Linked DNA regions of Tamandua tetradactyla. The protein of the gene in region 1 purifies or fractionates together with the protein of each later gene. This does not show direct contact. Links are inferred from orthologs where the notes say so. Each region holds a gene or a part of one and is shown on either strand. Other genes may lie near its edges.

What was found.
Region 2: the proteins of ENG (region 1) and ACVRL1 purify together in Homo sapiens (affinity purification with western blotting; 3 studies listed by BioGRID and IntAct, with this or other methods). This does not show direct contact. The link is inferred for Tamandua tetradactyla from reciprocal best matches to the Homo sapiens genes ENG and ACVRL1.

What each region holds. Positions count from the first base shown.
Region 1 is NC_135328.1:50,695,738-50,707,793, forward strand, and holds the start of ENG (endoglin), read right to left. Parts: upstream 4,705-12,056; 5' UTR 4,346-4,704; coding exon 4,279-4,345; intron 1-4,278. UniProt on the Homo sapiens protein: Vascular endothelium glycoprotein that plays an important role in the regulation of angiogenesis. Required for normal structure and integrity of adult vasculature. Regulates the migration of vascular endothelial cells.
Region 2 is NC_135333.1:113,294,687-113,306,684, forward strand, and holds the start of ACVRL1 (activin receptor type-1-like), read left to right. Parts: upstream 1-6,841; 5' UTR 6,842-6,902; coding exon 6,903-6,939; intron 6,940-6,990; exon of another isoform or gene 6,991-10,852; intron 10,853-11,553; coding exon 11,554-11,622; intron 11,623-11,998. UniProt on the Homo sapiens protein: Type I receptor for TGF-beta family ligands BMP9/GDF2 and BMP10 and important regulator of normal blood vessel development. On ligand binding, forms a receptor complex consisting of two type II and two type I transmembrane serine/threonine kinases.

The DNA.
Region 1 (12,056 bases):
GCTTGCCAGGCCTGGCTCTCATTTGCCAGATGACCTGTGTCAAATCCCTCCACCATTCTGAGCCTCAGTTTCCATGTGGATACTGGGGTGGCAGGAAACAATGGACAGGAGATGCTCCACACTCCACTGGATTCTGAAGTTCTGAGATTCTGCCTGGGGGTGGAAGTAGGAAGAGAGGGCAAGGCATTGACGGGGCTACTGAGGGTAGGGGCAGGGTCTCATGAGTTGTGCTCCAAGTGGGAAGGTCACGGTAGGGGAAAGAGAAGGGGCCAACTTCCTGGAAAAAGACTATGGGGCCACAGGGAGGGCCCTATCATCTCTCTGTGGCAGTACAGGGCTGTAAACAGGTCCAGAGCTCGAGTCCCAGATGCCTGCTTCTGGGCTGTGCCACTTGGGCCAATTCCTTCACCCACTGAGCCCCAGTCTCCTAATCTGTGACATGGGAATAACAGGAATGCTCTACCCCACAGGGCTTTAATGAGTACACATAACGTACCTAGAGCAGAGTCTGGCACACAGTAAGCATTAAATAAACGTCACCTGTTACTTTGGCCCCTTAACCCCTTTCCCCTCCTCAGCCCTACCCCCCCCCCACACACACACAGGTGTGAAAGCTAGCTCGGCTCCTCCTGAATCTCCTCTTCAGCCTCTAGGGCTGACCCTGCAGAGCCCGAACCGGACCTGGGTGGGGGGATCTCAGAGCCAGGGCAACCAGCTCTCCAAGTCTCTGGAACCCAGGCTGCCTGAAGTCTTGGCCCCAGCTTGGAGAAGGGGAAAGAAGTTGGGACTGGGTTCGAATCTGAGCCTACCACTTGTCCCAAGCCTCAATTTCCTCATCGATAAACTGGGAATAAAGGCAAAGAGCCAGCACAGTGCCTGATGTACTGAGGACACTGGAGAGATGGATCCCTCCCTCTTGCCCCTCAACATTCCAGCTCACTCCAGGTCCTTGAGTCAATGGACCAGGCTGTCCTCAGAGGGCCCAGCACTGACCCACCTGCGACCCTGAGCAAGGCTTTCTCTCTCTGGGCCTTAGTGTTACCATCCGCCTGCCTAAGGCAAGGGAGAAGCTTTCAAGCCATGGCCCTGCAGAGACCCACCCTCTCCTGGCTCACCCAGCTCCTTCTCCAACCTTGTTTTCCTCCTGGCAAATGGGTAGCTGTCCCCAAATGCAGCCTCTAAATGATGGATCTATCCAGTCTCTGGTCTGTGTCACTCGTCCTCCTCTCCGATGAGTCGCGGAAGTCCCAGACCACACCCCTGCTCCATCCTCCAGCAAACGATCACCCGCACAGAGGAAACATTCTTCAATCCCAGCCACCTAACATGGGCCACAAGCCCCCGCACCCCTTCTTCTGGGACTCTACCCAAAGACCATTATACAAAATATGGAAAAAGGTGCATGTGCCAAAAACGTGTGTTGAGGTGGTATTTATAACCAGTACTCAAGGGGAAATGAACTAAATATGCAGCAATAGGGGATTCATTAAGTAAACGATGGCTCATTTGAAGGAGAGAATATTCTAGAACCACAACGGGATGATTATGGAGTCCATCTGACAATATGGAAACTCCTGGGACAGGAGAAAGGTTATGTAAGACACCCAAATTTGATCCATCTGGATTTAAATTACCTGAAAAAGCTAGACAAAAGCTAGAAGGCAATCCACCAACATGGTAACAGTATCTATATTACAAAGGGGTTTGGGAGATAATGTTTTCCTCTCTTATCTACCTTCTTTGAGGGGTAAGCTGAGGCAACTAAGTGGTTAAATTGTTTTTTGTGTTTTTTAAATATCTCCATATGCTTGCTCTTAAAAAAAATCCCAACATAACAGAAAAATTTGACTTAGATGGTGAACGTCCCAGAGAGAAACCTTTATGTTGGAAAAGAGGAGTGTTGGGTACACAGCCTTCCAGAATTTCCTCTGTACATATTGTACATTTTTACTATTTTATTATGATAGAAATATTGGGGATCTAACAGTGTGCTGCAGTCATCTGTCCACGGCAGTATACACAGAGACCCGTCTTTTTCCTTGGCGACTGCTGCTTAGTATACCTCTCCGTAATAATTTATTTAACAGGTGTCCTGCTGATATACATTAGGTGGCTTCTACTAGTTGGGTTTTGGTTACAGGTGTCTTTGGGTCACACATCTTTAGAGAGCCGGGAAAATATCTCCATAGGGCTGACCCCGGAGGATAAGTTGCTGGGACCAAGAATCATGCATAGTTAAAAGTTTTGAGAGTTGCTGCTGAGTTGGGCTCCCAGAAATCTGGACCCATTTTTGGACCTGTTTCCGGACCCCTGTGGGCATGAATGGGGACACTGGGTCACCCCATCCCCACCCGTGGCGTGGAAAGAGCTGGGTTCCAGCCTGTAAGGGCCTGTGCTCTGCAACGTGCTGGAGCCCTCATCTGCCCTGCGTGGGCCTCGGTTTCCCAGGCCGTACGTGAGCTGGGCTGGATGGTTACCCTTGAACCGTGGTGTGCCAGAACTGGCTCATGCCTGCTCCTAAGAGTGGGCTGAAAAATTTCCAGGTGTTCTCTGAACTAATTGTCAGACAGTGCCATTATTTCGAAGTAGCTCATATAAACTTACAATTATATAAATTATATTAAAAACATAGAAACTCATCACCTCCTAAATAATTTACTCCATTTTACTATTATTTCTGCTCTTGAGGTTATCTTTATCTACTGTATCAATGTGGTGGAAATACCGCATGATGTGGGCTGCTGTGCGTCAATTCCTGGCTGGGCTAGTGAGTTGGTAACTTGACATCAGCCATGTGGGAGCATTGACACCATGGAAATTGACAGACATCCCAAATCAGATTCCCACCCTCCTTTGCCTGCTCCCCCAGTCACCAGTTGTTAATTGTTCACCAGCATACCTCCACCTTGATTCTGTAAAACCAGACCCAAAATGTCTGCATGGGTCTTTCTCTAATGAGCAAGTGGAATAGGACGTTACCATGCTAGAAATGGGTGAGAGGATGGGAGAGAAAGGCGAGACGGACCTACAGGCACGTCAGAACCCAGATAGGGGTCTGACGGAACCATGTGAAATCAGGCAGGTCTGAGTTTACCTTTCCTGTAAAATGGGGGCGGTGATGGCAGCCGGCTTGCAGGATGGCTGTGAGCCATTTTGAGGGGTTGCCGCATCATACATGGTTAGAAGCAAATGTTCTGGGGAGCACAAGCCTGGGGTCTAATCCCCCCTAAGCCACTTGCATCTCTAAAACTTAGTTCCCCATGTATTATGGGGCAGTGGTGAGAGTTGGAGAGACCAAGGTTTGGTAAATTTTAAATGCTGAGGGGTGGGGTGAGATGGGGAGGGGGTGGCCGTGGCTGCTGCTGTTCCCCTTCTCGTCTCCCCCTACTGCCCCCCCCCCCTCAGGGCTTCCTCCTTCCCCTCTTCCTCCTCCAGACCCTGAAGGGGTGGCCCTGGGCTGTCCTGTCTTGTGGCTCTAGGAGGGTGAGGGGCAGGACACAGCGGAGGCACGGCAGGTGAGATGGGGCTGGCACCCCACCTCCTCAGGACCCCTCCTCTGGTCAGTTTCAGAAGCCCGAAGAGGCCAGGAGCCCCGGAGAAGCCTCCAGGCTGAGGAGCTCTGGCAGGTCCCCTAACCAGGAGAGGAGGGGCAGAGAGGCGGGAGGGCCTTGCGAGCTGTTCCAAAGGGTTCTGGGAGTCGCTTCTCCATAAAACAACACAGAAACGAGCCGCAGGCCTGAGGGCTCGCCTCACCTCCCGGCCAGGTCCCCTCCCACAGCAGCCCCAAGGGGGGAGTCCTGTCACCATCCCCACTCAGAGGTTGGGGAAACGGGCTCAGCGACACGAAGGCAGCACCCCCAGATCACACCGGGTAGCTAAGGAAGTGGAGGTTTGAGCCCTAGCCTGACTCCGGAGCCCAAGCTCCAAAAACTAAGGCCCAGGGTGCCACGCACCGAGCTCCTTCCCACACGCTCCTCAGGGCCGCGCAGCTGGGTGATGGGGACGCCAGCAGGCCAGAGCTAAAGTGACCAGCTCATCCCGGTTTGCCTGAGACACTTTAGCTCTGAAAGCCCTGCGTCCTCCAAACCCAGCAGCCGGGATGGTCGGTCACCCTGTGGCCTCCCCCTCTGGATGTCCAGGTCCCCCACCTCCCCCCAGGAAAGACACCAGACAGGCTCCACCAGGCCTGAGGTCAGGGCACTGACCGGGTTCAAGATCTGCCAGGCACTGACCCACCCCGGGCCTGAGTCCCCCCACCCCAGGTCCCTGGACACCTACCTGTGGGGTTGAGGCTGCAGACGGCCAGCAACAGGGCAACGACCAGGAGACGGGCGTCACGGTCCATGCTGTCCGCTCGGAGGTCTGTGCGCTGGGCCTTATCCGGTGTCCAGGGGCAGGGCTGTGGGTGGGTGCGGGGGCCGGCGTGGGCTCACGCAGGGACCCGAGGGGAGCAGGCGGCCGGAGCGACAGCGTCCCTGCTCCAGCCTTCTGCGGGGACAGCCGAGGGGTCAGGAGAAGTGGGCAGGAGGGCGCAGGCCCGGGCCCTGGGTCCACAGCTGGCCAAGAAGTGGGCAGGGAGGGGACACTGGACTCCTGTGGCAGCAGCGAGCGCGGTGGTCCCGTGGACACGGATGGAGCCTGAGGTCTGACTGTCGGCTGAGGGGAGCTCCCGGCTCATCCAGCCCGGCCCGGGGAGGCAGGAAATGCGCTTCCTTAGAGAAGGGGCCGGGCCAGGCCGCCTGCCAGACGGTTAGAGGAAGTGCCACGGGCTTTGTCGCTGGGTGGGGGGCCTGGGTGGGGGGTCAGCGGGGGTGGGAGGGCCCAGGCTCCAAGCTTGCCTCCCCACCCTCTCCAGGTCTGGCCAGTGGGGGTGCATCTGGCAGCCCCTGGAGACCAGATGCGAACAATCACCCAAACAGCCCACCAAGGGGCCCTTCCCAGGCAGCCCTGGCTGAGATGGTTCCTGTGGGACTCACAGCCTGGGAACCTGGTATTCCCATTTCGCAGATAAGAAAACAGAGGCCCAATGAGGTGAGATTGTTGACCAGAAAGGGGATAGAGCTGGGATTCAAACCTGTGCCCCTCAGGGTCCAAAGCTGGCTGAGGTAACCATAACATGGGGCTTCTGTCCCTCTGCTTTGCAGGCAGGGAAACTGAGGCCCAGAGTAAGGAAGGAACACTCCCAAGTCGGCCCAGCAATTCACCTAGATCTGGGGTTTCTGAGCCCAGAGAGGGCAGGAGGTCTGCCCAGGGCCACACATTTTGTGTCTGATCCCTCCATGGGTGGAAAATCCTCCAGGGACAAAGGACAACCCCAAACAAAGGAGGATGGGACAGACCTTCAATGGCATTTCTGAATTCAGATGGCCCTGGGTTCAACACCCTGCACTGCTTGATCTGAGCTGTGAGATCTTGGCCAAGTCGCCTAAACCGTCTGTCACCCTGTTTGTAAAGTGAGAGCACAACAGTGCCCTCCTCTCCAGGCTGCGGTGAGAGTTCCCGGGTCGAGGCAGCACCGCACCGAGCCCTGAACCCGACACGCAGAAGCCCCCATCAGCGTTCCCTGGCCCTGGGAGACAATCCTGGAACTTGGGAGAGCAGCCTGGCACTGGGCTGGGGCTGGGGCTGCAGGTGGGGTGGCCGTTCATGCTGCAAACAGAAAGCACCTACTATGCGTCCAACATGATACTAGTCATGGGCAGAACCTAGGCTTAGGCCCAGGGGAGCTCAGAGAAAGAAGCCCGAGCTTCCTGGGCAAGGTGGCATTTAGACCTGGCTTTTGAAAGACTAGGTGAGTCTGGGGTGTGTAGAAGACAGGGAGGAGGTGGATGGGTCGGGCAGGGGGACCAGCCTGAGCAAAGGCATGGAGGTGGGATGTGCTTGGCCCACCATGGGACAGGGTCAGGAGAGGGCAGTAAGCCTGGAGAGGCAGACTCCAGCCCTGTTCGAGGGGGTCTTGAATGGCAGGAATTTACCCTGAAGCCATGGGAAATCATGGAAGGTTCTGGAGGAGGAAACCAGTGGGGCTTGACTTTGAGAAGACAAATCTTGGCATGTGCTGGCAGTACCCAGCAGGAGATGAAGCCATTCTCCCTGCATCTGTTCTGGATCACAGTGGGGACATCGTGACCCAGGGGGTGGGGAGAAAATTGGATTCCTGCGTGCCTCTGGAGGGAGGTGTTAGTCTGGAATAAGAGGCCGAGGCCTGGCCCTAGATGCCTCCGACGCTCTGGCCTGGTCCGGTGACCAGAGTAGGTCATATGTTTGTCTTTGCAGGAGCTGATATAGGAGTGGGAAGGGTGGGCGGGTCTCTTTGGATGGGGTTTGGGGAAAGGGTCAGCTCACCCAACCCCATGGCTGCCTGGCCAGTTCCTGCCATGAGGCATGGGCATGGAGTCAAGGCAGGCCAAGGAGGGCTATGAGGGGGGCAGAGGGGGCCACCCACAGAATGGTTATTACACTGTCTTTTCCTGCAGCTGCGGAGATGAGGACATGGGCACCATGAGGCACAGGGTGGCTTCAGTGGGGAGGTGGGTAGCTATAGGGTCCCCCGGGCCCCAGTTCCAGCATCTGTGCCCCAGGTGCAGTAAACCCAGCACCCAAGGGCTGGACGCTCCTTCCACGCCAGGCCCGCCCTAGGCAGTCACCTTATCAGCTCTGAGTCCTCACAGCCTCCCTGTGGCCCTCACATCCCCATTTTGCAGAGGAGGAACCCCAGGCTCCCAGAGGTATAAGTGGCCCCTCAGATCCACAGCTGGCAGGTGATGACCCCAGGTCCTTCACTGCCACCACCACCTGGGTTGAACTTGGAGTGGAGCAGTGATGTCCTGGTGACTGTGGGCATCGCAGGGTGGGGTGCTGGGGGTGTCCAGGGGTGGAGATAGGGACGCCACGGGAGGCTGTTCCAAAACCTCCCTTCCACCCCCACCCTCATGCTGAACAACCCACCCCACCCTTGTTACAAACAGGACCCACTGGATTCTCCGGAAAGCAGGAGCCACTTCAGGGGGATATGAGGAAGAACTTGTAGAAAACTCTAGGGAGACAAGTTAACAGGCCAAGCCTTTGATCTTGAGTCTTGCTCTTAATGAAACTTATTTCTGTAGCAGAGAAGCTGAACCTACCTATAATTACGCCCAACCAATATCATTCCTGTTAACCTTAAAAAACACCTAGGCTCTCTGGTTCAGGGGAGATGGCTGAATAGGGTAGATTGAGTCAGGTCTGCTCCAAGGAAAAGTTAGAGAAGGGATGGGAGGGCCACTGAGACGGCTATTCAAGAGCGCAGCTGATCTGGGAGAGCCTTTTGCACCACATAGGGCGACCCTGGTTGCAGAGGCGGAGGAATTGAGAACCAGAAAACTGGAGCCTAACGCAGAAGCATGGAGCCCACAGTTGGGCACGGATGGGGAAACGGGGACTACTAGAAAGTAAGCCAAGCCGCGGGCCCTGAATGCGCTACTCTCATCAGTGCAGCCCCGCGACCCGCGACCCGCGACTCACCCCACACCCCACGCACCTGAACACCATCACTCGCCCCCACTCCCCGCGCTCCAAGAGCCCCCCGCTCATCAGCCCCCAGAGTGCGCACCCACCCCATACCCCCACCCCAAGTGCAGCCCAGCCTACCTTTCCTGCACACCTTCTGAGCACTACCTCCTGATCTCTCCTCCCTGCAGGGTGTTGACAGTGCAATAAGGCTGCGGGCGCATACCTTCAGATCTGCGCATCAGCTGACAATGCTCCTAGACCCGCTTGGCCACCAGTCACGCCCCTCAGCTCTGGAAGCATCCGTTTGTGGCACTCCTAGAACCGCGCATGTGCACAGCCCTCAGCTCTGAGAAAGCACCGACCTGCGCAGCCAGGTCACACCTGCCCCAGTCCATGAAGGCAGGACACGGTCCTGATGCCTTGCTCTGCGCATGCACACAAAGGGCCCTGCGCCCTAGACCAGCACCCACCAGGGTTACGTCCCCCAGACCTGTACACACGCACAGCTATGTCCTCCCTGGCCCCTGGGCGCCCACGTTCTCAAGCACCAGCGTAACATCCCCAACCTGCGCCTTTACCTGGGCTGCAACGTATCACTGTTGTACCCCACCCCATACCTTGCATCCGAGTCCACATCCACCCCACAAACACAAGGCCTTAGACTACCGAAGGGAATCAACTCCCAAAGTAAATCAATCAAGATATTTGCATACGGGAGCCAAGACAGCTTAGTGAGGTTTGGGATTTAGTTCGTGCTCCAGAGCCACTAGTAAATAACCCAGGAAAAGTACAGAACAACTGCTGGGGTCATGTCAGTGACTGGACACACAGCATACCCCAGTCTGGACCAGCTGGACTGGCTGCGAGCCCCCCAGAACCGGGAGTCCCCCAAGCCGCAGAGGCCGGCGCCCATCCCCCACAGGCAGCTTCCCAGAGGGGCTGAGCACAGCCAAGCTCCAACTGTGGAATTAATGAACAAATTCTTACTACTAAAAAGTAGTAAACTCAGCTCAGCTGAACCTCGAGTAAAAGCTGAGGTTGCTGGTTTTTGCTCCAGCGCAGAGGGGGCAGGGCTGATGGAAAAAAAGGTTTTTTTGATCAGGCAGCACAAAATATTTGGAAGGGTCTCGACCCTGAAGGAAAAGAGGGGACAGATAGGACCTGGAGATACACAAAGCAACATAACAACTTAAGCTCTTGATTGGCAAACCCAAGGAATGGGGATCCTACTCTGAAAAGGATTTTTTTTTTCTTTCTTTCCCTTTTTGTGTCTGTGTTTTCTATGGCTTGACTGCTCTTTGGATACAGCTACAGGACTTCTCAGGCTCCAACTGCCCCAGGCATGGGCAGAATTAAGCTTGTCTGAGAGCTTGTCTGGAGCCTGTGCCTTCCCCAGGAGAGGGGTGGGGCCCAGCTCAGGTGGAATCCTTCCCTCAAGGAATTCAGACCCCAGGGCCTGGAAAAGTGAAGTGATTAAAGCCAGCCTACAACCTCTCCTCTGTCTGCACCATGCCCCCATAAGGGAGAGTCTGCTGAAGTTAAAGGTACTGCATCACCTTATCCTGGTGGGACCTGCAGTCAGACATGTGTCACATACTGGGCAAGATAGGAAAAACACAGAGTTCAGAGGCTTCATAAGAAAGTCTTTCAACCTGCTGGGTCTCACCCTCAGAAAAATGACGCAGGTGACTCTTTCCTTCTGAGTGGAAGCCAGTTTGGTCTGGGAAAATCTGACTGGGGTCTAAAATACCTATGTAGACCCTCCTAAGGAAAGGGAAAAAAAGGCACCATATAGGCAGGGCAAGAAACAAGAAAATAAGAACTGAAAAATTCTGATCTGTTAAACCAAACCTAAGCTAGAGGTCTGGAATAAGCTGAACTGAATGTCAAAGAACAGATAGACAACAAAGTCATCCAGCAAGAAAATCCTAGGTAAAAAAAGTGAAAATGACCTCCAGAATAAACTAACTAAGGAAATTAAATGTATAGACACCAGCAAAAAATAAAGAATCATACTAGAAAAATAGAAGTTATGGCCCAGTCAAAAAACAAACCAACGATTCAAATGAGATACAGGAGTTGAAACAATGAATTCAGAATGTTCACACAGACATGGAAAACCTTGTCAAAAATCAAATCAATGAACGAGGGAGGATATAAAGAAGGCAAGGAATGAACAAAAAGAAGAAATCAAAAGTCTGAAAAAACAAATCACAATTTATAGGAATGAAAGGCACAGTAGAAGAGATGAAAAAAACAATGGAAACCTACAATGTTAGATTTCAAGAGACAGAAGATAGGATCAGTGAACTGGAAGGCAGGACATCTGAAATCTGATAAGCAAAAGAAAATAAATGGAAAAAAACAGAAAAATATGAGCAGGGACTCAGGGAATTGAAGGACAATACGATGCACATGAATATACATGTTGTGGGTGTCCCAGAAGAAGAAGAGAAGGGAAAAGGAGGAGAAAAACTAATAGAGGAAATTATCACTGAAAATGTCCCAACTCTTATGAAAGATTTAAAATTACAGATCCAAGAAGTACAGTGTACCCCAAACAGAACATCCAAATAGACATACTCCAAGACACTTACTAATCAGAATGCCAGAGGTCAAAGAGAAAGAGAGACTCTTGAAAGCAGCAAGAGAAAAGCAATCCATCATATACAAGGGAAACCCAATAAGACTGTGCATAGAAATCTCAGCAGTAAGCATGGAGGTGAGAAGACAGTGATATGATATATTTGAGATACTAAAAGAGAAAAACTTCCAACCAAGAATTCTATATCCAGCAAAAATGTTCTCCAAAAATGAAAGGAAAATTAAAATATTTTCAGACAAAAAATCACTGAGAGAATTTATGACCAACAGACCAGCTCTGCAAGAAATACTAAAGGGAGCACTAGAGACAGATAGGAAAAGGCAGGAGAGAGAGGTGTGGAGAAGAGTGTAGAAATGAAGACTATCAGTAAAAGTAAAAAGAAGAAAAATTAGATATGACATATAAAATCCAAAAGGCAAAATGGTAGAAGAAAGTACTGCCCTTACAGTAATTACTCTAAATGTTAATGGATTAAACTCCCCAATCAAAAAACATAGTTTGGCAGAATGGATTAAAAAACAGGACCCATCTATATGCTGTCTACAGGAGATGCATCTTAGACCCAAGGATAAACATAGGTTGAAAGTGAAAGGTTGGGAAAAGATATTCATGCAAACACAATCAGAAAAGAGCAGGAGTAGCTGTACTGATATCCAACAAATTAGACTTCAAATGTAAAACAATTAAAAGAGACAAAGAAGGACACTATTTTAATATTAATAAATATTAATTTGTTAATAAAAGGAACAACTCAGCAAGAAGACATAACGATCATAAATATTTATGCACTGAGCCAGAGTGCACCAAAACACATGAGGCAAACACTTAAAAGAAAAATAGACACATCTACCATAATAGTTAGAGACTTCAATTCCTCATTCTCATCAATGGACAGAACATTTAGACAGAGAATCAATAAAGAAACAGAGAATTTGAATAATACAATAAATGAGCTAGACTTAACATTTATAGAGCATTACACCTCACAACAGCAGGATATACCTTTTTCTCAAGTGCTCATGTATCATTCTCAAGAATAGACCAAATGCTGGGTCTCAGAGCAAGTCTCAATAAATTTAAAAAGATTGAAATCATACAAAACAATTTCTCAGATCATAAAGGAATGAAGTTGGAAATCAGTAATAGGCAGATTGTGAAAGCCTTGTGTCTGATGCTCCTTTTATCTACTTTATGGACAGATGAGTAAACATGGATTAAAAATAAATAAATAATAGAGGGAATAAATATTAAAATAAATTTAGTAGATTGAAATGCTAGTGATCAATGAAGGGGAAGGATAAGTGGTATGGTATGTATGAATTTTTTTCTTTTTTCTTTTTATTTCTTTTTCTGAATTGATGAAAATGTTCTAAGAAATGATCATGATGATAAATATACAACTATGTGATGATATTGTGAATTCTTGATTATATACCAAGAATGGGGTGATCATATGGTAAGAATGTTTGTGTTTGTATGTTGTTATGTTTAAAAAATTTAAAAACTGATATGGGGAGCTTCATGGAACAGAAAGCCGGGAGAAGAAGCTAGCAGATGATGCCGTGTTCACCATATGTCCTTCCAGATGAGAGAGAAGCCCTGACTGTGTTCACCATGTGCCTTTACAAATGAGAGAGAAACTCTGACTATGTTTGCCATATGCCCTTCTACTTGAGAGAGAAACCCTGAACTTCATCAGCCTTCTTGAATCAAGGTATCTTTCCCTGGATGCCTTTGATTGAACATCTCTATAGACTTGTTTTAACTGGGACATTTCCTCGGCCTTAGTACTGTAAACTAGCAACTTATTAAATTCCCCTTTTTAAAAGCCAAAAAAAAAAAAAAAAAAAAAAAAAAACTGATATGCAGAGGACCAGAAAATTCACAACTATATGGAGGCTCAACAACACACTCTTAAACAACCAGTGGGTCAAGGAAGAAATTACAAGAGAAATCAGTA
Region 2 (11,998 bases), on another chromosome or scaffold:
CAAGAAACCCCTGACGTGTCTGGAGCAGATGAGGAGGAGGACTCGCCCCCCAAAGTGGGGCACCTGAACAGGAACTCCCCCTCTCCAGCAGGCAAACTTTCCCCAAAGTTGAAAACCTCTGCGCCCCTTCTCCCACATCAAGCACCAGGCCAGCGTGCTCATGCTCCATGCACCCCCCACCAGCTCCCTGGAGCTCCTCCTCCTGGCTTCTCTCCTCGGATCTCAGGGGGCTCCCCCGACACCCTCCTCAAGCCGAGGTTCACGCAGAGGGACAGCCCTGCTCCCTGCCCTCGCTTTCCTCAGAGGGGTCACGGCTTTTCCCATGTAAGGAAGTTACCCCATCTGAAGGGATGGGCAGGACCTCGGCCCCCCTCAACCGCCTCCCCCACTCCTTTTGTGTTTGGGGGTGCCGCTCCAGATGTTCCCATGGACTCTGAAACCTGCAGGTACACGGTCATCTAGGGCCCACGGGGACCTGCCCGCAGCCCCCGCCCCGGCACTGACGTGCACACTGGCCCATCTACTCCGTCACGCAGAGAGCCACACACGCAAGCACATCAACACACCCCGCCACACAGGTACACAAACCGACAAAGGTAAGGACAGGGTCCCTCCCACACCCCTTTGTCCCCCAACACTTTGTATCCATCTCCCCAGCCCCTCAGCTCCTGCTTTGAGGCTATTTATTCCATACCAGCCTTGGATACCCCTCTGACCCCACTTCCTACATCCATGCCAGGGACCTGCCTTGGGGGGACAAGGGGTAGAGGCCTGGGGATAAGGGGGGTGCCGGAGGCACGCGCTCACCTGTGAGCCATCAGTACCAGACCCTCTGGTGCTGGGAAGGGCAGAGTCTGGGCACGGATGCTGGGGGGTGGGGCGGGGGGGACGGGAAAGGGGCAGGATTTCTGGCATTTCCCCTCCAGCTGGAAACAAAGGCAGATTCCTGTGTCCAGCGCAGCAATCCGGCCCCACCCACCCCAGCGGCTGGGGCCGAAGGAAATCCCGCTGGCCTCTGGCCTCTCCCAGCCACTCGGCTCCCTCTTTCAAACAGTCTCTCTCCCAGCTGGGGCCACTACCGACTCTCAAACCCTGGGGACCCCCTTCTTGTCCAAACACCAAGCCCTTTCCTTTGGAAACAGTCACCTCAGCCCCTCAGACTCTCTCCCCAGGCCACTGAAGATGCCAGGCCCCCACCTCCTTCCTGCCAGTGCCACCTTCTCTCAGCCGAGCCAACTCAGGCTTCCTTGTCTTCAGAGCGAGCAAAAGGCTCTATGCCTCTAGGAATCCCGTCCAATCCAGCATGCTCAACAGGGTCCTCAAGGCATCGTTGTCGTCGGGAGTTTCCCCTGAACACCCCCCAGTAACAAGGTCGGTCACTCCCTTGGTTGTCCAACACGGCTTCTCTTCTCACGTCAGAATTGCAGCTCTAAATTCTTGATATTCTCACAAGCAGTGTGGACAACCAAAGCAATAGGCTAAGCCCCCAATCTTGGGGTTTGTTCATATGAAACTTATTCCCACAAAGGATAGGCCAAGCCTACTTAAAATTAGGCCTAAGAGTCACCCCCAGAGAACCTCTTTTGTTGCTCAGATGTGGCCTCTCTCTCCAGCCAACACAACAAGCAAACTCACGTCCTCCCCCTGTCTACGTGGGACATGACTCCCAGGGGTGTGGACCTTTCTGGCAACGTGGGACAGAAATCCCAAAACGAGCTGGGACTCAGCATCAAGGGATTGAGAAAACCTTCTCGACCAAAAGGGGGAAGAGTGAAATGAGACCAAATAAAGTGACAAAGGCTGAGAGATTCCAAACAGAGTCGAGAGATTATCTTGGAGGTTATTCTTACACATTAAATAGATATATCACCTTTTTAGTTACTGTGTAACAGAGAGGCTGGAGGGAAGTGGCTGAAACTGTAGAGCTGTGTTCCAGTAGCCATGTTTCTTGAAGATGATTGTATAATGATACAGCTTTCGCAATGTGACTGTGTGATTGTGAAAACCTTTTATCTACTTTATGGACAGATAAGTAAAATATATGGATTAAAAATAAATAAATAATAGGGGGAACAAATGTTAAAATAGATTTAGTAGATTGAAATGCTAGTGATCAATGAAAGGGAAGGGTAAGGGGTATGGTATGTATGAATTTTTTCCTGTTTTCTTTTCATTTCTTTTCCTGCTGTCTTTTTATTTATTTTTCTGAATTTATGCAAATGTTCCAAGAAATGATCACGATGATGAATATACAACTATGTGATGATATTGTGAATTACTGATTATATATATAGAATGGAATGATCATATGGTAAGAATGTTTGTGTTGGTATGCTGGTATGTTTAATAAATAAAATAAATTTTAAAAAATTGCAGCTCTATGGAAGGGAGGGGGTGCAGCCTGCCTTAATTAGTGAAAAGTCAAGTGATACAGTCAAATCCTGAAAGAACTGGAACTTAAGGTTTGGATATATTATTTAAAGTTATAAAATAAAGTTATGATGATCAATAATTCAGAGGGAAAGAGGGGAGGGACAATCTAAATGACCTAAAGTCTGAAGTTTTTTAATAATTCCTGAGACTTTAAAATCTAGAGATAGCAGTGTAAACGTACCATACTTGAAGTAAATGCCAGAGAAACTAATAGCAAAAACTTTGAGAGGCAGTTGCCCCCCAGCCAGGGTCTGGGGGTGGCTACAGTGACTTATGATCAATTCTTTGCAGAATTTTATGTATTTTACCGAGTGCATAGTTAGGGTTTCTTTGATTTTCTCAAAACGATTGCCTCATTCTTTAGCATCTTCTCCAGTAGCCAAACTTTCACCTTTGTAATAACCCTCGTGTAGCTATTAGTAGAACAGACCATACTTATTACTCATCTTTGAACAGATAAGGTCAAGGTCACAGGGCCCAGCCCCAGGTCTCCTGACTCCTGGATGTTTTTACTCCTACCTCACAACTCCACCTCCCTTCCTCAAAATAGCTGGTAAACGACTTCCACACATACTTTGCTTTAAGTGTAAGAATGCGGTAGAGGAGGAATTATCTACCCTTTCTTACAGGTATGGAAACTGAGGCTCCTACACAGATGTTTCAACTCCAAGCTTGAGCTCTTTCCACCAGCTTTCCTCTACTTTCAGGGACCAGGCCAGGGTTTGATGGATGAGTGGGAGACTCATTCCATTCTACATATAGAATCAATAATTCACAAGCAGGTGGGGAGGGGCAATCTAAAGGTGGCAGGAGGAGGCAGCAGTGGTGGGGCAGCTTCTCAACTGGGCGTGGGCTCCAGGCCAACACCCCACCCCTGCAGGATCACGCGGGCACCGTCTAATCACAAGCCTCTCCTGCCCTGACATGTCTTCCCTTCCTTAAGAGTTTTCATCCTAAGATGAGTCATCCTGAGGGCTTGGTGGTGGCCGAGGGGTAGACAAACCCATCTGGGGGAGATCCCAGAGGAGCTGGAGAGGAAGAGGAAGATGACTTGGCAGCTCAATGTCTGGGCAGCTGGCCCGTCTACCAGTCTCTCCCTGGGCAGAGCCCTGCTCCCCCACCCTCACCCCGTAACTGTCCTCAAATCTTGGCTCCAGCCAGACCACCTCTGTTACTGAGTTTTAGTGACAGGGCCTGGAACTAGTAGTTTCCTGAGATTGGAAAAGGACCTTTAGGATTATCTGGTTTAAACCCCTCAGTGAACAGAGGAGGGAACTGAGGCCCAGGGAGGATTTGGGCCTGGAGCCCAGCCAGGCCCCTTGATCCCTGGCTCATCACTTTTTTTCACAATCCTATGATGCCTGAGCTGGAGGAGACTTAGAAAGGTCGTTTCTTCTCCCCTTTCCTCCAGGCAAAACTCCAATTCCAGCCAGCCTGCAAAACAGAGTCTCTCTTAGGCTGCGTAGATGACTTAAAGTCATTTATAGGTACCTGCACTACTTCTCCCTGAAGGGGGACCCACAATCCCTGGGGTACCTGTTTCGCTGTTTCATGGTATGTCATGCCTCTCACCTTTAGTTGTCTGATCTAAACCTCCCACTCTGAAATTTTAGTGGAGCGAAGCCCAGCTCACCCCTTCTAACTTTTCCTACATTTTTTTTTGCCCTGCTAAATCTGATGCAGAACTGGCTACATAATTTGTGGGATCCAGTGCACTCGGCCCTTTGTTTTAAAATGTTTAAGAATACTGTTAAGAATTTGAAGGTGGCAGCAGCGCAGCATTAAACTGCATAGGCCACACGCCCACGAAGCTGTCCCTGCCCTGGCGTCCAGCTGTGTACTCGATATCTCAGGGTCTCCACTCCGCTCCCTTCACGCCGCACTCCACGGCACCGCCTTCTACAACGAGACCCTCCATGTGGTCTCAGCGCACATACCCACCCCAAGATCTTCAGGCCTCTGTTTCACGCACGCTGGGAAATCCTTCTGAATATCTAAATCTAAATCTCGGTCCTGTGGGTCTGTTTCCTCTTGTTCTGTCCTCACTGAATATGGGGAACAGCTGGTCCCTTTGCGTAATTAATTCATGTAGACTCAGACTTGGACACAGTCTGTAATTCCTTTTCCCTTTCCTCACTGGGCTGAGTCTCCAACGCTTTCTCCAACTCTGTGTCCCTCCTGCCGAGCCTCCCCCACGTCCTGTGTGTGCTTTGGAAGGCGTGGGGTGCACGAAAAGCCCCAAAGAGCATCAGTTGGGGTTCGCAGGCTCAGCGTGCTGGGGGGTGGGGGATGGAGGGTGGAGGAGAGCCTGGCCTGGATTAACTGTCGCTGTTCTCCACCCCCTCAGGTCCTCTCTTCCTCCTGCCAAACCTTATCTACTTTTATCGGCTTTACAAACTCTTCCCAGATAAATAGTCCCTATCCCAGCTGGCTCTCCCAGGCGACTCTCAGCATGTCCATCTCAGTGTCTCTGTCCTCAGTGTATCTCAGCTAAATGCTTCCCTGGGGGGAAGCCCCCATTCCCCTTCCCAGGACAGAGACCCATGGGCTGGGAGAGGAAGAGGTTTATCAGAAGCCAAGGCAGGGCAGGAGGGAGAAGGGGTGTGAAGGATGAACACGCGGCCAGACTCCCAGTTATCCAGCTAATAGAGAGCCCAAGTGGCCGCTATAATCGGACAGAGCAGATACTGTAATCCCATAGTACTTCCTATTGGCTGCAGGACACAGCTCTGTCCTGACACTGAAATTTGGGTGTGCCGGGGTTCTGGGAATTCACAAGGCACACAACAAGTTGTGAAGCAGCTGCAGGGTGGGAGGGGGTGGGTTCCAGCCGAGGAAATGAGGTCAGTCCACAATTGACACCTAGTCTGAGCACTTAGCCCTCTCTCCCCAGCTTCGAATCCTGCCAAGGTGTCCCATCTTTGAATCATCATCTGCAAGCAAGACACCTTAGAGGTCTACGCCTGCTTCTGGTACCCGAGCCTTCTCACTTGGCTCTCCAGCCACCCCCTTTCCAACCATTAATTAACAAATACTTTTACTGAGGGCCTACCCTGGGTCAGCACCCCCAGCCAACATTTTTGCTATGAAGTGAGATAAGCATCATTTTCCTCACAAGCATGGGACAAGCACGGGACAAGGCTAGTGTTGTTTGTTACGCCCATCCAGCACCTGGACACCGGAGGGTTGGAGAGGTGTCACTCATCTAAGGTTGTGCAAAGATTCTTGGGCAGGGAGGCTGACCTCAGAGTCTTTGTGGATAACCAGGATGCTAGGGACAAACCTGAGTCCTGCTCACAGTGGCTGAAGGACAGCTGGACAACCACAGCAGCGCTGGGAGCCTGGGCAGGGTCACCAGGAGGAAGAGTTTCTTTCTCTTGGGGTAAGGAGCCATTCTGCTCTCCTCCCTGAGTCTGTCTCCGCAGTGTCCCCAGGGAGGCTCGGGTCCCCACCTCTAAAGCTCCTATGGATGGTCGGTGACCTGCCTCCCAGCCGGCAGTCCAAGGTCCCAGCGCCTCCCTCCATTCTGGCTGCCCGTGGTGGTGAAGGGAGTCCCAGGCCGGAGCTGCGGCGCAGAGGGGCTCAGACGGCCACGCCACTGACCCAGAGCCCCCCATCTGGGTCTGGGTACCCCTGCGCTGGGCAGAGGAGCGGCTGCGGAAGGAGGGGGTGAAAAGGCCCGAAGGAGGCGCAGCGGCTGAAGGATCCGGACCGAAAGCGGGGTCCCCGAGGGCGGGATCAAAGTTCTTTTGGACCTGGTCAGCCCCAAACTCTGCCGGCGCCGCCCTGAGCCTCCTGGGCAGACCGCCCTACCGCCCTCCTCCGCGTGTCCTTCCCTCCATGCCCCGCTGTGCGACCCCCGGGTTCCAGGCCCCCGCCCCGCCGGCTCGGAGCGGGAGGGGGCGCCCTCACACCCCACTCCCCTACTTCGGTTGCCAGAGGGTGTCTCCCGTCTCAGCTCCGGCTCCACGGTGCTGGGCCGGGACCCCACGGGACCCCCGCGGCCGGAGTCCAAGACCCGCCCCCTCGGGGAGGCGGATGTGGGAGGCACGCGGAGGGGATGCGGGCCAGGGAACCCCGGCTGGGTGGGGGCGACTGGCGGGGCGGGGCAGGGGTGGGCAGCCGCCTCGGGGTCTCGGGAAGCGCTCGGGGGCGGGGGTGGGGGAAGGTCCCGGCCCTGCAGCCCCCACGGGGGGCGAGCGGGCGGCCCGTCAGCAAGCTGGGCAATAGGAAACGGTTTATTAGGAGGGAGTGGTGGAGCCGGGCCAGGCAGGAAGACGCTGGAATAAGAAACATTTTTTGCTCCAGCCTCCTTCCCAGTCCCAGGAGGCCGCCGCGCCAGCCGCGCCGAGCGAGCCCCTCCCCGGCCTCAGCCCCGTCCGGGGCCCCGCCCGGACCCCGACCCGCGGTCCAGCTCTTGCAGTGCGACGGCGGCCGCCGCCGGGGAGGGAGGCGTCCCCGCCCGCCGCATGTCCGCGCCGCGCCGTCCGCAGGGCAGGCCCAGAGGTGAGTCGAGGTCTTTAGGGCTGGGATCTGATGGCGAGATGGACGACCCCCGTCCAGAAGGGCCCCTTCCTTTGTGTGGATTCCGAGACCCCCTCAGAGAGGTCGCGGTAGGGTCAGTCCCACCGCACTGCCTCCTCGCGCTCGGTGCACCTCGGCCCATCGCCCCACCTGACACCGGGAGGGACCTAGAAGGGACCTGGATTGCTGATCTGAAAACCCGAACTTGCTGACAGGCTTCTGCTGAGTGACCTGGGGCCGGTCGCTTAACTTCTCTGTTCTTGTATCCTCACTCATAAAATGGGCAGAATTCCTGTCTTGCTTCACTCAGAGAGAAGGATTCACTCGGGGGTAATGGGTGTGCTTTTCTTTAAGCTTCTGCAACTAATGATTATCTTTTATTATCTTTGTTATCTAAACTCCAGGATCCAGGGCCCACCTCTGAGAACCTTAAGCATGTATAATCCAGATTCCCATCAACCCAGCTTTTAATTCTGTAAAATCCAGCTCAAAAATCCAGGCTGGTCTGATGTGAAGCGGACAACCTTTCTTGCCCTTATTCTGTGCTGTGTCCCTCCAGGCCTTTGGGCTGACCTGGGAGTGAGTGTCTGCTTACAACACTGGTGAAACCACCTTTTCCAGATCAGCTTCTGCAGCCCTTGCTTAAGAAATCTGACATTTACTCCAGCCCACAAACCTCACCCCTAACTCCAGCCTTCCTTCAGGATACTGGGCAGAGGTGGACAGGCTGGGACCCCAGTGCTAATGAGCGTGTTCCAGGGATAGCTGCCTACCCCAGGGCAGAGTGGACAGTGGAGCTCACCCTCTATTTTGTGGGCAGCTTCTGGCCCAGTCAGGAATTCTTCTCTCTGATCCTTTGCTTTCCCATCTCTGGGAGGACAGGTCCTCGTCCCTGTCCTCCCATCCCACTGGGTTCTTAAAAATAGCTGCCATTTATTGTCACTACTATGTAGCTGCCTAGATATATTTTTCTCACGTAATCCTGGCAACAACCTGGCAGGAGAGGGGTCCTTATGCCCATCTTACAGAAGAGAAAACCGACCCAGACCTAAATAACTTATCCAAAGCACTGAGGATGGTGTGTTAGGGTTGGATTTTTAAAAAACATTTAAGTGCTTACCATGTGCCACTTTGTATTTGCTAAATAATGTTACATACATTATACCTATGAAGTCAACACTTTTATTATTGCCATTTTACACATGGAGGAAACCTAGCCTCAGAAAGGTTAAGAAACTTGCCTCGAATCACACAGAGGCAGGCTGTAAACCTAGGTCTACATGATCCTGAGCCCGCATTCTGCCTGGAGAACCCCACCATCCAGGCTTGTCAGGCTGCATCACGTTGCAGTGAGGAGCTAGTGGAATGATGGAGGTGAAAGCGCTTTGGGTCTCCAAAAGGGCAACCCAAAATGATCAGCTCAGTCTGGTCCTCTGCTGTTTGGGTGGGAGTTATTAAAAGTGCAGCGTGTGACAGCCTGGTCATGTTTAAGATGGAGCTCCTTCAGCCAGTGACGATCACTGCTGTGTTGAACCGCTGTGGCTGAGGACAGTGGGCTTTATCCATCCCTCAGGTGTGCCGGGGAGAAAAAGATTAGTGATTACCTTCCAGGAACTCTCCTCCCCTGTCTACAGCAAACAGGTATCTGACCAGCAACACTTTGTCTTTGCATCTCAACAAACCTGCGTGAGGTGGGAGAGCTGCAGAGTAGGAAATTTGTCCATGCCCACATACTAATTTTTTCCTTCTTTCAAGTACTCACCTAACACCAAACAATTAGAGGATGGCAATGCACAAGAAATGATTTACTATCAGCAATTTATCAGTCATAGGTAATCACTGTGGGCAGGAAACTTAATGCCCCTGAGCCTCAGTTTCCCCATTGGATTGTTGGGAAGATTAAATGAGATAAACCACTGAAGTTCAGTACCTAGTATATAATCAGTACCCAGAAAAGACAAACTATTATTCTTAAATTATTCATGGTAGTAAGTTCATGTGTGAAATTAACATTTGTGATTTCTGGCCAACAATGGAGATGCTACTGTTAGCAGTAGATCTTTTAGGACATTTTGCTTAGAAGTTGAAGGATACATCAGTCACCAGGAGTCTGTTTGGGTAGAGCCAGATTTCAGGGTGAACCATGCAGGGTCAGCTTTGAGCTTGGACTGATCAGGACCCAGCACCCTCCTGTACTTAACCCTACACTGGGCCCAGTTAAAAATTGGACAGTCACAATTTTACTCCATTATATTCCCAACATTGGACCAGATGTGGGTTCACTGAATGCTGCCAGTTTCTTCCTGCACTGTTCCTGGGCCCAAGGAGGAAGAAAACCCTCACCCCTACATTCCTCCTGCCATGTCCCCAAGTCCCTGCTGCCTCTGGCTTCGATGTTTAACCTTGGCCATTCCTTCTGTCCCCAGCAGATGGGGAGGTCCCTCTTGGGGTCCCCTCCCTCTGGGCTCCACTCCCCCCTGCCCAGCAGGGCCCTGCACAGAGAAACAAAAGCGTTAGTGTTGTGTAGGGCACATGTCTCTTAAGTGTGTTCCCCATACAAACTGATCAGAGTTACTGCGGAGCTTTTTAAAAATGCATATTCCTGATTGGTCCCCTAGAGGGACTGAGTCAGAATCTGGAGTGAATTGAGACCAAAGAATGTACACTTCTAAACAAGAGCTCCTGGTGATTCCAGTACATAATAAAGTAGATGAGAGGACAGGCTGGGGCGTGGAGGGATGCTACATTTTATCCTTATTTTTGCCCCAATTTTTTTCCCACCACATACACTCCCTGCAGCAACTTTTTGTGCAAGCAAAAGCTGTCAAGGATGGCTCCTACCTGTACCCCAGTGGGCAAATTCAGCTCTTTTAGAGCTCCTTCTCCAGCCGCCAACCACACTGCAGAGCCCTCGACAGAGTCCTCACTGCCTGGCAGGAGAGACAAGAGGCTGGAGTTCAAACAGAGGCTGGGGACACAGCTGCAGCAGCCTCGGGCTCTGTTTCCTCCCCAGCCCTGGGCCTCTGGGGCAGAGGAAGCCCAGGCAGGAAGGCCAGAGCTGCTACCAGCCAGAGAGGCCCATGCAGCACCCACCCACCGCCACCTCCAGGCCATCCTCCCTCCAGAGCCTCAGCATCATGGGCCCTCCCTGGGCACCATTCCTAGACTATGGCTTTCCATAGCCCACATGGCCATGTTCCTGGCCCAGCCAACCTCACCATGTCATACCAGAGGACATTTCTCCTCCCTTTTGTTGGTTGTTCCTCCCTAGAGATCCGACCCCCAGACACACACCTGCATACTCGCCACCATTCGGAAAGTCCTTGTTGCTGCCTGATTTAGTCCCTCTAGCTGCAGCCCTAGCCCATGCCTCCTTGTTTTAAACCTTTGAGAAATGAGGAGTGGGGTAGCTTCTGAAGCACTGGTTGTTTTGGGACCTGGGTTGGGGGTTACCATCGACCAGAATTACCACACACACCAGTACTGGGCCCCTCCCCATCAAACTTCTAGAAAAGTTCAACCCCAGCAAGCCATGGAAGGTCAAGTGTTCAGTGTCTAGTGTGTTTCGCTTCCGCTCCCACATCATCAGTCCTACCCCCACCCTTTCCCAGAACAGCAAGGAAGGGGGCCAGGGAATGGCAAAGAGAGGGCATCTCACCCCTCGTGAGTTTGCAGACAGGTTCTTTTATACCCGGCAGGAGTGGCACTCCATGGCTTTGTATGGAGTTACAAACCTGAGGGCTCAGACACACGGCTGCTGCTGGATTGGGAGACGGAGTGGAAAGGACATGGGCTGGGAGTCAGGACACACGGGTCCCCTGGACAAGTCTCCTCCCCTGTCTGGGCTCCATCCCTTCTTCTCTAAAATAAGGAGCAGGACTTTGTAATTCACAAGGTATCCTAGGATTCTGTTGTGGGGGTGTCCCAGCCCAGGTGCCTCCCGCCGACCCTATACCCTATAGTCACCTTGGCCTGCCCTGAGGCTATGTCCTTGCTCCCTGCTTTGCGTGACTCCTGCGTGTCCTATCCAGATCCCAATCTAAACAATCTTGATTCCTGTTCCCGGCTCAGCGGGACCCTGAATGGCAGGAAGTGAAGCCAGGGGCCTGTTTATGTTTGAAGCAGCCAGGGCTGGGGGTGGGGGGGCACACTGGGGAGGGGATGGCTAGGGGTGGAGGCTGGGAGGAGGTGGGCAAGGGGCAGGGTACAGAAGGGTGGGTGTGCTGCGGAAGAGGTCCGTCTTCCACCCCAGCCCGAGCCCTTCTAGCTGTCCGGCCCCGTGGCCTTCCTGGCCTGCCTCCGGTCTGGGCTCAGCAGGAGGGGTGCAGAACGGGGGCTCCCCCAGGCTCTGAGGCACGTAACCATGGCTCGCTACCCTTTACCCTTAGCAGGATGGTTTCCATGGGGAAGTGAACTAGGACTTCCCCTACAGGCCAGGCACAGGGAGTGGAGAGGAGGCGTCCTTGCCCCACCCCCTCAAAAAAACTCCCCGTGATTTCCTCCGGGGGGAGGGACCCAGGCTCAGTGGCTGAAAACGCTTAGGGGGATCACATTTCACAGCTCTTCCTGCACCCCCTCTCTTACTCCTCTTTCCAGGGACCATGGCCTTGGGCCCCCCAAGGAGGAGCCTTCTGATGCTTCTGCTGGTCTTGGGGCTGAGCCAGGGTGAGTATTAGGGGACAAGGGCCTGGATGGAGAAAGGGCTGTCTGGGTTCAGCTCAGCTCCTACTGGGACTGAATTTGAGGAGACAGGAAGAAGGTGGATTTGGGAGCTTGGCTGGAGGGTGGGAAACAGTGAGATTCAGATGAAGCTCTCGGCCCCCAGCGCTCCTTTGCTCTTGATCCAAACCTGCTCTGTCACCCCCCAGCTTGGGAACTTATATCTGGAGGTGCAGAGAATGGGGGTGTTGGCAGGGAGTGCCTGGGAGAACCCACAGGGCAGGGCTGGACAGGGTTATGTGAAACTGGGAGGTCCTAGTGTTAGGGAGAGGTCAGAAGCCTGGCTCTCAGTTTGAGCTGCCTCTGGCATGGGTTGAGGTTC